Linked DNA regions of Neurospora crassa OR74A. The protein of the gene in region 1 purifies or fractionates together with the protein of each later gene. This does not show direct contact. Links are inferred from orthologs where the notes say so. Each region holds a gene or a part of one and is shown in the gene's direction. Other genes may lie near its edges.

Evidence for each region. The genes of interacting proteins can lie anywhere in the genome.
Region 2: the proteins of NCU07299 (region 1) and NCU06622 purify together in Saccharomyces cerevisiae (affinity purification with mass spectrometry; 4 studies listed by BioGRID, with this or other methods). This does not show direct contact. The link is inferred for Neurospora crassa OR74A from reciprocal best matches to the Saccharomyces cerevisiae genes PRP11 and LEA1.
Region 3: the proteins of NCU07299 (region 1) and NCU03042 purify together in Saccharomyces cerevisiae (affinity purification with mass spectrometry; 3 studies listed by BioGRID). This does not show direct contact. The link is inferred for Neurospora crassa OR74A from reciprocal best matches to the Saccharomyces cerevisiae genes PRP11 and HSH155.

The regions. Positions count from the first base shown.
Region 1 is NC_026504.1:4,474,537-4,477,781, reverse strand, and holds NCU07299 (splicing factor 3a subunit 2), read left to right. Parts: upstream 1-1,129; 5' UTR 1,130-1,293; coding exon 1,294-2,037; 3' UTR 2,038-2,745; downstream 2,746-3,245. Other genes in the region: NCU07298 (CAIB/BAIF family enzyme), read right to left, coding at 1-111, 162-193, 249-413. UniProt on the Saccharomyces cerevisiae protein: mRNA splicing factors, PRP9, PRP11, and PRP21, are necessary for addition of the U2 snRNP to the pre-mRNA in an early step of spliceosome assembly.
Region 2 is NC_026504.1:1,833,621-1,837,138, forward strand, and holds NCU06622 (U2 small nuclear ribonucleoprotein A'), read left to right. Parts: upstream 1-1,142; 5' UTR 1,143-1,441; coding exon 1,442-1,520; intron 1,521-1,638; coding exon 1,639-1,679; intron 1,680-1,790; coding exon 1,791-2,051; intron 2,052-2,168; coding exon 2,169-2,303; intron 2,304-2,359; coding exon 2,360-2,602; 3' UTR 2,603-2,996; downstream 2,997-3,518. Other genes in the region: NCU06621 (hypothetical protein), read left to right, coding at 1-450; NCU06623 (hypothetical protein), read right to left, coding at 2,997-3,518. UniProt on the Saccharomyces cerevisiae protein: Involved in pre-mRNA splicing. Associates to U2 snRNA in a MSL1 dependent manner and is required for normal accumulation of U2 snRNA. Required for the spliceosome assembly and the efficient addition of U2 snRNP onto the pre-mRNA.
Region 3 is NC_026501.1:8,343,984-8,347,974, reverse strand, and holds the start of NCU03042 (U2 snRNP component prp10), read left to right. Parts: upstream 1-1,191; 5' UTR 1,192-1,532; coding exon 1,533-3,991. Other genes in the region: NCU03041 (hypothetical protein), read right to left, coding at 298-948. UniProt on the Saccharomyces cerevisiae protein: Contacts pre-mRNA on both sides of the branch site early in spliceosome assembly.

The DNA.
Region 1 (3,245 bases):
GATTCACCCGGTCCCTCCATGGACGAACCGGACTTGTAGCTGGCATACGGTGGTCCCCATGCTCGAGTATCGTCGCCTCTTACGGGATGCTCGATCTTGATCACTTCTGCGCTCAAAGGGTCTCAGCTGGCGCTCGCGCACTTTGGGGTCGATGGACTCACCCGAGATCTCCGAGAATTTGTGTACAGTAAGGCTGGATGGAAGAGCATGTCAGCTCGTCCCTGTGTGAGGGTGAGTTGTCTTCTTACCCCAGCCAGCACTCTGGTCATGTCTAGCACACGGTAGCCCTCAAGTGGAAGTGTTCCATCCGCGAAACGGACTGAGGAGCTGGCAAAGCAACGACGAGTTGTCGCCGGGATAGAACGGCGCAGCGCCGAAGCACGGATGGCCTTGAACAAACTGCGGCGCATCATATTGTATAGAGGCTATCACAAAACATGGAGAAACAAACGGTCATAAGCTAGTAACTAGGCCCATGGGAGCTTCAGCCAAGACAGGATGACATGAATGCTACTCTATACCGGCGATCGGTGGAGAATAACGGAAGCCGTTCCTGTTCCTTCCCCGCAATCCCGGGAGTCCAGCCGCCGGATCCCGAGGTTTACAATGCACCTTCCAGCGCGATTCCGGTATTGAGACGGCAAGCGCCCACAAACTCAGCGGCATCGGCCACGATAAAACGAACCCCACGATGCCGAGTAGTAATTGTTATTCCGGGTGACAGTAGGTAGCCGTCCAAAGTAGATATTGAAGATACAGTTAAATACTCTTTCCTACTACATGAAATTGTTCGACGTTGTGGTATGATGGAAACGATAACGGCCATGACCCTATACACCATGTCAAAACAGCTCTGTCAAGTTCAAGTGACGGTGACGAAGGGAAATGCGCGCTCTTCAGATATCGAATAGACGACTGGGCCACATTTTGACAACAGAAATACATCCCACAGCCTCATCAGGCCATAACTTTGCTCTGTACTAATCGATGTCAACTCAAACCTCCTGCATTGTCGCTAACACTTGCAGAAGGTTGGCAGCTGCCATCAGCTGACCAATCAGAACGCTCAGTCTCTTCGCCTGAACGCCTGTCTCGACTTTTCCACGGCGCGTCTTGGGGAGTCCACACCTGTCCCATCAATTACACCTGATATCATCCATCATCGAAACCCATAACCTCACCCACGGTCCATCGCCTTATCTCGACCACATTGCTGACACGACACACATACATTCACCCCCTCAAATTCCACACGATCTAGTCTGATAATAAGAGATACGAAACGAAAGCAACATGGATTACCAGAACCGCGCGGGCTCTAAATTCGGCGGCGGCGGCGTAGCCTCCCACTCCGCCACCAACGCCGACCGTCGCGAGCGTCTGCGCAAGCTCGCTCTCGAGACCATCGATCTCGACAAGGACCCTTACATTTTCCGTAACCATCTCGGCTCCTTCGAATGCCGTCTGTGTTTGACGGTGCACCAGAACGACGGCTCCTACCTCGCCCACACCCAAGGCAAGAAGCATCAAACAAACCTCGCTCGCCGTGCCGCCCGCGAGCAAAAAGAAGGCAAAGGCGAAGTCGATCCGCAGACGGGTCTCCCCGTCGGCGTCGTCGGCGCGGGTTTCGCCGCTTTGGGACTGGGCGCCGGCGGCGTGCGCAAGAACGTGGTCAAGATTGGTCGCCCCGGATACAAGATCACGAAAGTGCGCGACCCCATCACCCGCCAGCAGGGATTGCTGTTCCAGCTGCAGTACCCGGATATTGCCCCGGGCGTCACACCCAAGTGGCAGGTCATGAGCGCCTTCAGCCAAAGGGTCGAGGAACCGGACAGGAACTACCAGTACCTCCTGGTCGCCGCGGAGCCGTACGAGACATGTGGGTTCAAGATCCCGGCGCGCGAGCTGGACAAGCGCGAGGATAAGCAGTTTGAGTTTTGGGACCCGGATAGCAAGGAGTACTGGGTGCAGATCATGTTCATGACGGAGCGCGAGGAGCGCTTCAATGCGGCGCCTGGGTTGACGGGGAGGAGGTGATTTGTTTTACTCTTCTGGTATTGCTTCAGATGAACGGTTATTCTACACCCACGTTCGGATTTGATCGGGGATCGGGAAAATATGCTTGGCGTTTACGGAGTTTCCTGTCATTATTTGGGTCATGTTCAGCCCCAATTCGGCTTCTCGGACGTCCCCACAAAGTCACGTAACTTTTGCAGGAGGGCTTACTGGTAGAAAGAAGGTGGAAGGGGGAATACACAATCCCCAGAAATTGTGTTGAGGACCAGATCATGATCCGGTCATTGGCCTTCGTCCAACGGCGATCTGAATCGGCATCATATAAAGTCCGAAGAAGCTTTGGGCGGACGGCCCATCCGAAGCACGACGATCGCCGTTGAGCGGGTATCGGGAAAATGGATCCAAACCGCTCGCAACGGCATAGGAGATTGGGACGTTCGGTACGGACGGAGATATCAGACAAAACCGGGACTTGAGAACGATACCAAAATCACCGGCAGAAGGGACCTCGAGATTGTTGTTGTAAGGATATGTATATACAGTCTTGGAGTTGCGTGTTCCTCCTAGCTGACATATGAAACAGACCCGATGAGCGGACATTACGCCCATTATCGCCTTCTTTCATGAAACGTGAGTGTATCGATTATCTTCATTATGTGATAACGTGAGGTGACTTGCATGCTGTCGGCTCTTCAGCCACTTACCACTTTATCTTTAAATATGGAGTTTGTTTGCATGCTGTCTTTCTAGCGAAGCAGGCCATATGGGTGGGTTTACCATTGTAGCTCGTATAATTCTGGCAGTGAAGTAATGATCCTCATGGTGAAATTGCTTATATACAGTAGAATATGCTATCTCGACTACGTAAGTAAACAAAGGTGAGGAGCGCTGCACTAACAGCTTTCTCCCATCTTGCCTGTAGTGCATGCTTCCAAAGTCCGAACCCATCCAAAGACCCCCTTTAACCAAGCTCAGATCTGCCTTTTGTACATCATTGTCGAGAGCAATTAGAATTGCAAAAAAAAGACAACTGCACTAGCAAGGAGAGGCAAGCGAGCCGAGCCCCGGGAAGGGCTTCGATCCTGCAACAAAACCAAAACCACGACGACACGGAGCCCAGCAAATTCGCAAGCCCTGCAACAAGCAAGGGTTGTCGGATCTGGTTGGACCGGTGACTCGGAAGTATCTGTAAAAATCATCACCGCAAGGTTCTAAGAGGTCTTGGACTA
Region 2 (3,518 bases), about 2.6 Mb from region 1:
CCTCAAGAACAGCCAAGCGTCTACCGCTCGCCTTCAATGCAATCCTCGAATGCAGAGAACCGACCCCCATCGCCGAAGCAAATGACCCCAATAGTCGAACGTCATGCTCTAGCACCAATGGCTACCACACCGGACAGGCCCACTTCTCCTTCCAAACGGACGATTCTGGGTGCCCTTCAAAGCACTAAGCCTTGGACCGCGGCAGATCTAGACAATATATTCTCGCCCAACAAGAACGACTACGATAAGGAAGACGGCATTGACAAACTCTTGCACAAGGGCAGTGAGCTCACGAGCCCGGAAAAGCGGATGACCGTGGAGGAGTGGATCTATCATAATGCCAACTTGGCTGAGCAGAGATTGAAGAGGGAATGCGAGGAGATGGTCCTGCTGTTTGAGAAGCAGGGTGCCAGAGCGATGGAAGCTTTGGAGGGGCTTATCGTCGAGTAGTGAGTGAGTGGCACGACCCTTGGGCACCAAATTATCAGCATAAAAGGACGAGAGGTGTGGATTCGCATACTAAATCCCGCTTCTGGTTCAAGGTCGGGCAAATTCTGTGTGTGTGTGATACCAGGTAATGGACATGGAACTTGCGTGATGCGTTACATAGCAAGCTTATTGTGTCAGTGACTTTGGCTTCTGGTTTGAGTAGCATGGAAGGCGTCATTCGACGTCCGGTTAGACGATGTAGGGATAGCATTGTTGGTGACGTTACAATGGAATTGCACAATAGTGTGCATCATAACGAAACAAGCCCTAAAGTTACAGCTGCAGGTTCTTTAGATGATGCCGGGTTGGGGATCTGGACTAAAGAGCGAGTGTGATGAAAGTGGTTTTGGTTTTTCCATAGCGGGCGGTTAGTGGTTGTGAAAGCGTTTACACCAAGAAGTAGAACGAAAACTTGACAGCAACCTGGCGAGATAGCGAGTAAGAAACATTTTAGGCCAACAAGAGGGCAGAAAATGAACATATAATATCTGACTCTAGTACCCTAGTCTTTCAGACACAAACCGTGTCGACTCTGTTTAGGAGCTCCGTGTGGTTGCGACTTGCAAGTAATCCGACGCGCAAGGGTTAGGGTTACTACATCGTCCGTTTTTTTTTTGCGGCGCTGTCCATGACTTCATTGGGGCAGGCAGCCTTGTCAATCTACTTTGGTAACTTCACTACAGCCACCAATTACGAACCACGCGACGCGCTTCAACCTTTTGCTTCTTTAGTTGACTTCCATCAATTTCAATCTCGAAGGCGAACACAGGACATACGGCAATTCTCCTGGCTGTAATCAATAATTAATCACCTGTTTGCAAAGCCCCTTTGCGCCGCCGTATTACAAAAGCACCACCAGCAACAACCATCACAAGGTACCGACCGGCATCGCAGTAGTAGTAGCAGCGACAGCTCGACAGCTCCCCGTCGTCGTTGCACTCCCGTCGTCACAATGAGGCTGACGGCAGACCTTATCAACAACTCCCTTTCCTATCTCAATCCGCTTAAGGAGCGAGAGATAGACCTCCGAGGTGCGTTCCATCGAGAAGAGCAGATACTGCACGGTTGATCTTCAAGTTTCCAAAAGCGCGTACAAAGAACAGAGTTGATATATCGAAAACCTATGTTGGGTTGGGATACATGCAATAGGACACAGAATACCTGCTATTGAGAACTTGGGCGTTGCTGGGGTAAGTTTCTCCCTTCTCCTGGTTCTTCCTCTACTGCTAGTCCTGCTACTGGTAGCCCGTTTCAACCAAATTACCAATTAATGCAGTTTGCTAATCCGGTCGCTACTACAGCCCCACGATGCCATTGATTTCACCGACAACGATATCCAAGTGCTGGGCAACTTCCCGCTCTCTCCCCGCATACGCACCCTCCTGCTCGCCCGCAACAGGATCGCCCAGATCCAGTCGACCCTACCGAATGCGACCCCGAACCTGAAGAACCTCGTCCTGGCGTCCAATAATATTGGCGAGCTGGCGGATTTGGAGGTGTTGGGAAGGTTTCCAAGGCTTACGCACTTGGTCTTGACGGACAACCCCGTTACCAAGAAGGAGGTACGTCACACAACGCCCTTTCGTCGCCCAGTGTTATGCGGCTGAGAGAGAATCGGAGACGGGGGTGGCAAATGGAATGAATGTACGGAATGGCTGACAATGTTTGTCGACACACAGAACTACCGCTACTGGGTCCTCTGGCTGTGCCCTCAGGTTCGCTTTCTCGATTACGTCAAGGTCAAGGACGCCGAGAGGCAGAAGGCGAAGGAGCTGTTTGGAACCGCTGATGAGCCGACGGAGTTGGCCAAGACGGTATGTACCTTGTCTTCTTTTTCAATGTCATGACAACCCTGCTAACATGCAAACAGATAAAGGGAATCAAGAGCAAGACCTTTGACGTTGGCGCCAGCTCCGCCAACGGTGCGGCCGGCAGTGGTCCTTCCTCGAAACTTTCGCGTCTCAAGCTCACAGAGAAAGAGAAGAAGAAGTTGCAGGATCTGATCAAGAAGGCCGACAGCTTGGAGGAAATCATCAGATTGGAGAAGGCGCTCAACGAGGGACGGCTGCCACCTGGCATTATCGCCGAGGATGACGATGCCATGGAGGAGTAAGGAGGAACCAAGGTGACGGGCACCTGACGAACGTGGTAGATCAGGTTGCTATATGTTCGTGATATGATGGCTTGCAGAGGTGACGAAAAGGGGGAGGACGGCACTTCAAAGAGCTTACCATTTGTCGGCGTTCGGTTCTAGATGGGGCTTACTGCAAAATAACTGTATACCAAATTGCGCAAATTTGCTGGGTTGAAACAGAGATAGTGAAACATGATAGTGGTGTCATGATTTCACCGCAGCAATCGGAGCGGCCTTGAGGAAAGGGACGTTAGGACGAGCATATCAAGGGCCCATGGTCTTTGATTCGGCAACTCTACACCTCTTAACGTCTTGTACTCGCCCGGATATTCAACACGTCTATTCGGCTCTGTATGTATGGACAGTCACTCAACTAACCCGTCATATCCACATCCCCATCATGACCCCGATACTGCTGTGACGCCGCCTGCCTCATCTCCATCTGCAACTGCGCGCTGGGATCCTCGTCCGACGTAGTAGCTGGCGGTGATGCCGACAAGATACCCCTATTCATGCCGCTCATCACACCAGGAGTAGAACTAAATGGTCGTCCCGAAGCCGACGACATGCCCACCACACCCGTCGTGACACCCATATTGGTAATACCGGTATTAACCCCGCCAGCACCGAGTCCATTCACCGGCGCCGCCAGCCCTCCAATGCTTCCACTAGCACCGCTTCCTGTACCAGCAGGCAACCCCCCATTCATAGACATCAAGATGGACGTTTGCTGCAACCCGCCGGACCCCTTTTGCTTCTTGGCATTCGGCAGCATCGCCATCCTATCCCGCTCATCTCCATGATCACCCACTTGTCCCTGCTCCAAAGATAGCATAACCCCCTCGGGAGCTGCCAGTCCTCCCATAACCGGTCCAGGCGCCAAAACGACCGCGGC
Region 3 (3,991 bases), on another chromosome or scaffold:
AGTTAATCCCAGAGCATTTAGGACTTGGCAATGATCTGGCGAAATGCGGAGGGTTCAGCCTGTCATCCACCGACTGGAAGCGCCCCATCACAGAAGTCAGGTTCGTCGACCACTCAATGCCCCGCATAAGCAGGGGACAGAGTCTGCTTGATTTTGGGCATTTGTATCGGTATCCATGCCATTGAGGGGCCGAGGCCGACTTGGCTACCTTCTTGATGCCCCGACTGCTAAGATTCAAATGGACGCATTCGAGACGGTGAATAGACCAAGTCATGAGCATGCTACATATGGACTTACCGTGATGTTGGAACAGTCCTGCTCGACGAATAACAGCGTTGTCAGATCAACAAACCCAACACCTTGTTGCGCCGAAATGGCCGAGCTCGCGCCATATCCTCGAGCTGCAAGACTCATGTCATCTGCCCTATCGCTTTGCCCGTTGGCATCAACGCCGTTTGACTTGTCGTGGTGGTGATGGTCATGATCGTGGTCACCAGGTTTGTGACAGTGCCAAAACTCCATCATCTCAGCCCAGTTCTCACTCGGGAGGTCTTTCCACACCTTGACAACATCTCGCTTGACAACAACGGCCTGGCATTGTCTACAAACAACTTCGGACCCGGCCTTCAAATCGGTGGCTGTCCAAGTGGACGACTCGGCTGATGATGCATCCGTGTATGTTCCTTGACCCAACGGTAACCTCCAGGAGAGCGCAGAGGCTCCAGGTCTTTGTATTGGCAGAATGGCGCCGCCAAGGGCTACCTTTGCGGGTAGATGTAGTGTATGTGACTGTCCATGGTGTGTGAGCTCGACATTCTCTCCATCCGCTGCCACCACTACTCGTGTTGACGCATCGCTTGCAGAGCCCAGTGAGATGGCCAGCGATATCTGGCGGATATTTGAAAGCAACTCTACATACAGTAGCGGCGTTGCAGGTTGGGATGTCATGCTGGTCGAAGCGAAGATGAAGCGAGGTTGAGAGAGGTGAAATGGATGGAAGTTGAGGGTGTGGAAAGTGAAAGTGCTGCCTCCCCACATGAGCTAAGTGGAAATGGATGGAAGCTCCCCTGCTCCCCACCGCGATCGAAAGCGTCGAGGTCTGGACTGCTTACCTAATGCACCTGGAGCGCCACTTGGAGTGGAAACTTCAGGTGCAGCCTTGCCAAGCCCGTGTCAGCTCTCTCACGGTCACGTCCCGTCACCAGTCGCTGGCCAAAATTTCAGGGAAGGCGTGTGCACCGTACCGCATCCACTGCGCCCGTCTTCAGCCGTGACCTGCATCCCTCTGCCTCCACCGTCTATTCCCTTGCTGATAGCCTCAGTTATACACGACAAAGTGTCAAAACTGTCACCGTCAATTTAGCTGCCCCGTCAGTTACCATACCCGATCCCACCCAACCACCCACGGGCAGCGCCACATCATCACGTCCCGTTTCCTCCCGACCACATACCATCATTCACCCTCGCGGCGCGCTGGACATTCTTGCGACGACCCCGACCTGACATGACACGAGGAGGATACGGCCAGCACCATGTCGGACTCGGATTTTGAGCAGATCAAGAAGCTCCAGCAGGAGCGCAATGCTGCTGCTGCCGCCAAGAGCGGTTCGCGCAGCTTTGATCCTGCCAACCAACGATCCGACAACAGCACCAAAGCCAAGCTGGGAGAAATATGGGACACCGATCTGTATGAGCGCAACACCGGCGACAAGTTTGCGGGCTACCACACCACCCTGCCTGCTGCCGATGGCGACGACGAAGAGATGGAAGATGCCGACTCCGGCCGCCGCCTAGTAGGACAGTACACCGCCACCCGAGCTCAGATCGATGAGTTTGCACGCGGCGATGGCGTCGAGGAGGATGATCCCCTGGCTGGCCGGGGCGAAAAGAGCAACCGCATCACCGACAGGGAGACCGACTACCAGAAGCGCCGATTTGACCGCGTTCTGACCCCTACACGAGCCGACCCATTTGCTGCCAACCGCCAAGCAGGTGCCACTGATGAAGGCGAGAGTTACCGGGAAATCATGGAACGCCGCGAGCTTGAGCGAGAGGAAGAGCGCGTACGGCGCGCCATTGAACAGAAGATGAAGGAGGGCGGTCCGGTCGAGGAGCACCAGCCTACCCTTCAGGATTCCGGTAACAAGGAGAACGAGGAGGCTGGCTCTACTGAAGCTGCGGCTGGTCGGAAGCGCAAGAAGAGATGGGATGTCGCCTCTACAGATGATGCTACCCCGGCACCAGAGCCCAAGAAGAGGTCTAGGTGGGATCAAGCACCATCTGTTCCCGCTCCAGGGGCGCCAGGGGCGGAACCCAAGAAGCGATCCCGCTGGGACCAGGCGCCTTCTGCCACTCCTGTTGGTAATGTCGGCCTAGCTACCCCGATGCACCCTACCCAGACCGCTGTCGTGCCCCCAGCTTTCGGGGCTGATGCGGCCGGTCGCTACGCACCACTCAGCGACGAAGAGCTGGACGCGATGCTTCCAGGCCCCGAACAAGGTTACAAGATTCTTGAGCCGCCACCAGGGTATGCCCCCGTGCGAGCACCGGCACACAAGCTGATGCAGGCTCCGGCCCCAACAACGGGCTTCATGATGCAGGACCCCGACAGCGGACGGATGACAGGCCAGCAGGTGCCAAAGGAGATTCCCGGTGTGGGAGACCTGCAATTCTTCAAGCCCGAAGATATGGCATACTTCGGCAAGCTCACCGACGGAGCAGATGAGGAAAGTTTGAGTGTCGAAGAGCTCAAGGAGAGAAAGATTATGAGGCTCTTGCTGAAGGTCAAGAACGGTACTCCTCCTATGAGAAAGACTGCGCTCAGACAATTGACAGATAATGCTCGCAACTTTGGTGCCGGCCCCCTCTTCAACCAAATTCTTCCTCTGCTCATGGAGAAAACATTGGAGGACCAGGAACGCCATCTTCTCGTCAAGGTTATTGATCGTATTTTGTACAAGCTCGATGACATGGTTCGACCATACGTTCACAAGATTCTCGTCGTTATCGAACCCCTTCTTATCGATCAGGACTACTATGCCCGTGTTGAGGGTCGGGAAATCATTTCGAACCTCAGCAAGGCTGCTGGTCTTGCCACAATGATCAGTGTCATGCGTCCAGATATTGATCACGTCGATGAATATGTCAGAAACACTACTGCCAGAGCCTTTGCCGTCGTTGCCTCGGCTCTGGGTATCCCAGCTCTGCTCCCCTTCTTGCGAGCTGTGTGCCGAAGCAAAAAGTCGTGGCAGGCTCGTCACACGGGTGTCAAGATCGTCCAGCAGATTCCCATCTTGATGGGCTGCGCAGTCTTGCCCCATCTCAAGCAGCTGGTTGACTGTATCGGACCCAACCTGAACGATGAACAGACCAAGGTCCGCACAGTGACCAGTTTGGCCATCGCAGCTCTCGCCGAGGCATCTAACCCCTACGGTATCGAGAGCTTTGATGATATTCTCAACCCCCTTTGGACCGGTGCCCGAAAGCAGCGAGGCAAGGGTCTGGCGGGTTTCCTCAAGGCTGTCGGTTATATTATCCCGCTTATGGATGAAGACTATGCCAACTATTACACCAGTCAGATTATGGAGATTCTGCTACGAGAATTTGCCTCTCCTGATGAAGAGATGAAGAAGGTTGTGCTAAAGGTGATTTCACAGTGCGCCGCCACCGATGGAGTAACGGCTGGGTACCTAAAGGAGCATGTGCTGGACGAGTTCTTCAAGAGCTTTTGGGTACGGCGTATGGCTCTGGATAAGCGCAACTACCGACAGGTCGTTGAGACCACTGTCGACATTGGCCAAAAGGTTGGTGTCAGCGAGATTCTGGAAAGGATCGTAGCCAACCTAAAGGACGAGAGCGAAGCCTACCGCAAGATGACGGTGGAGACGGTTGAAAAGATTGTGGCCTCTCTCGGTGCTGCCGATATTGGCGAGCGTCTGGAAGAACGCCTTATCGATGGCATTCTTCATGCGTTCCAGGAACAGAGCGTGGA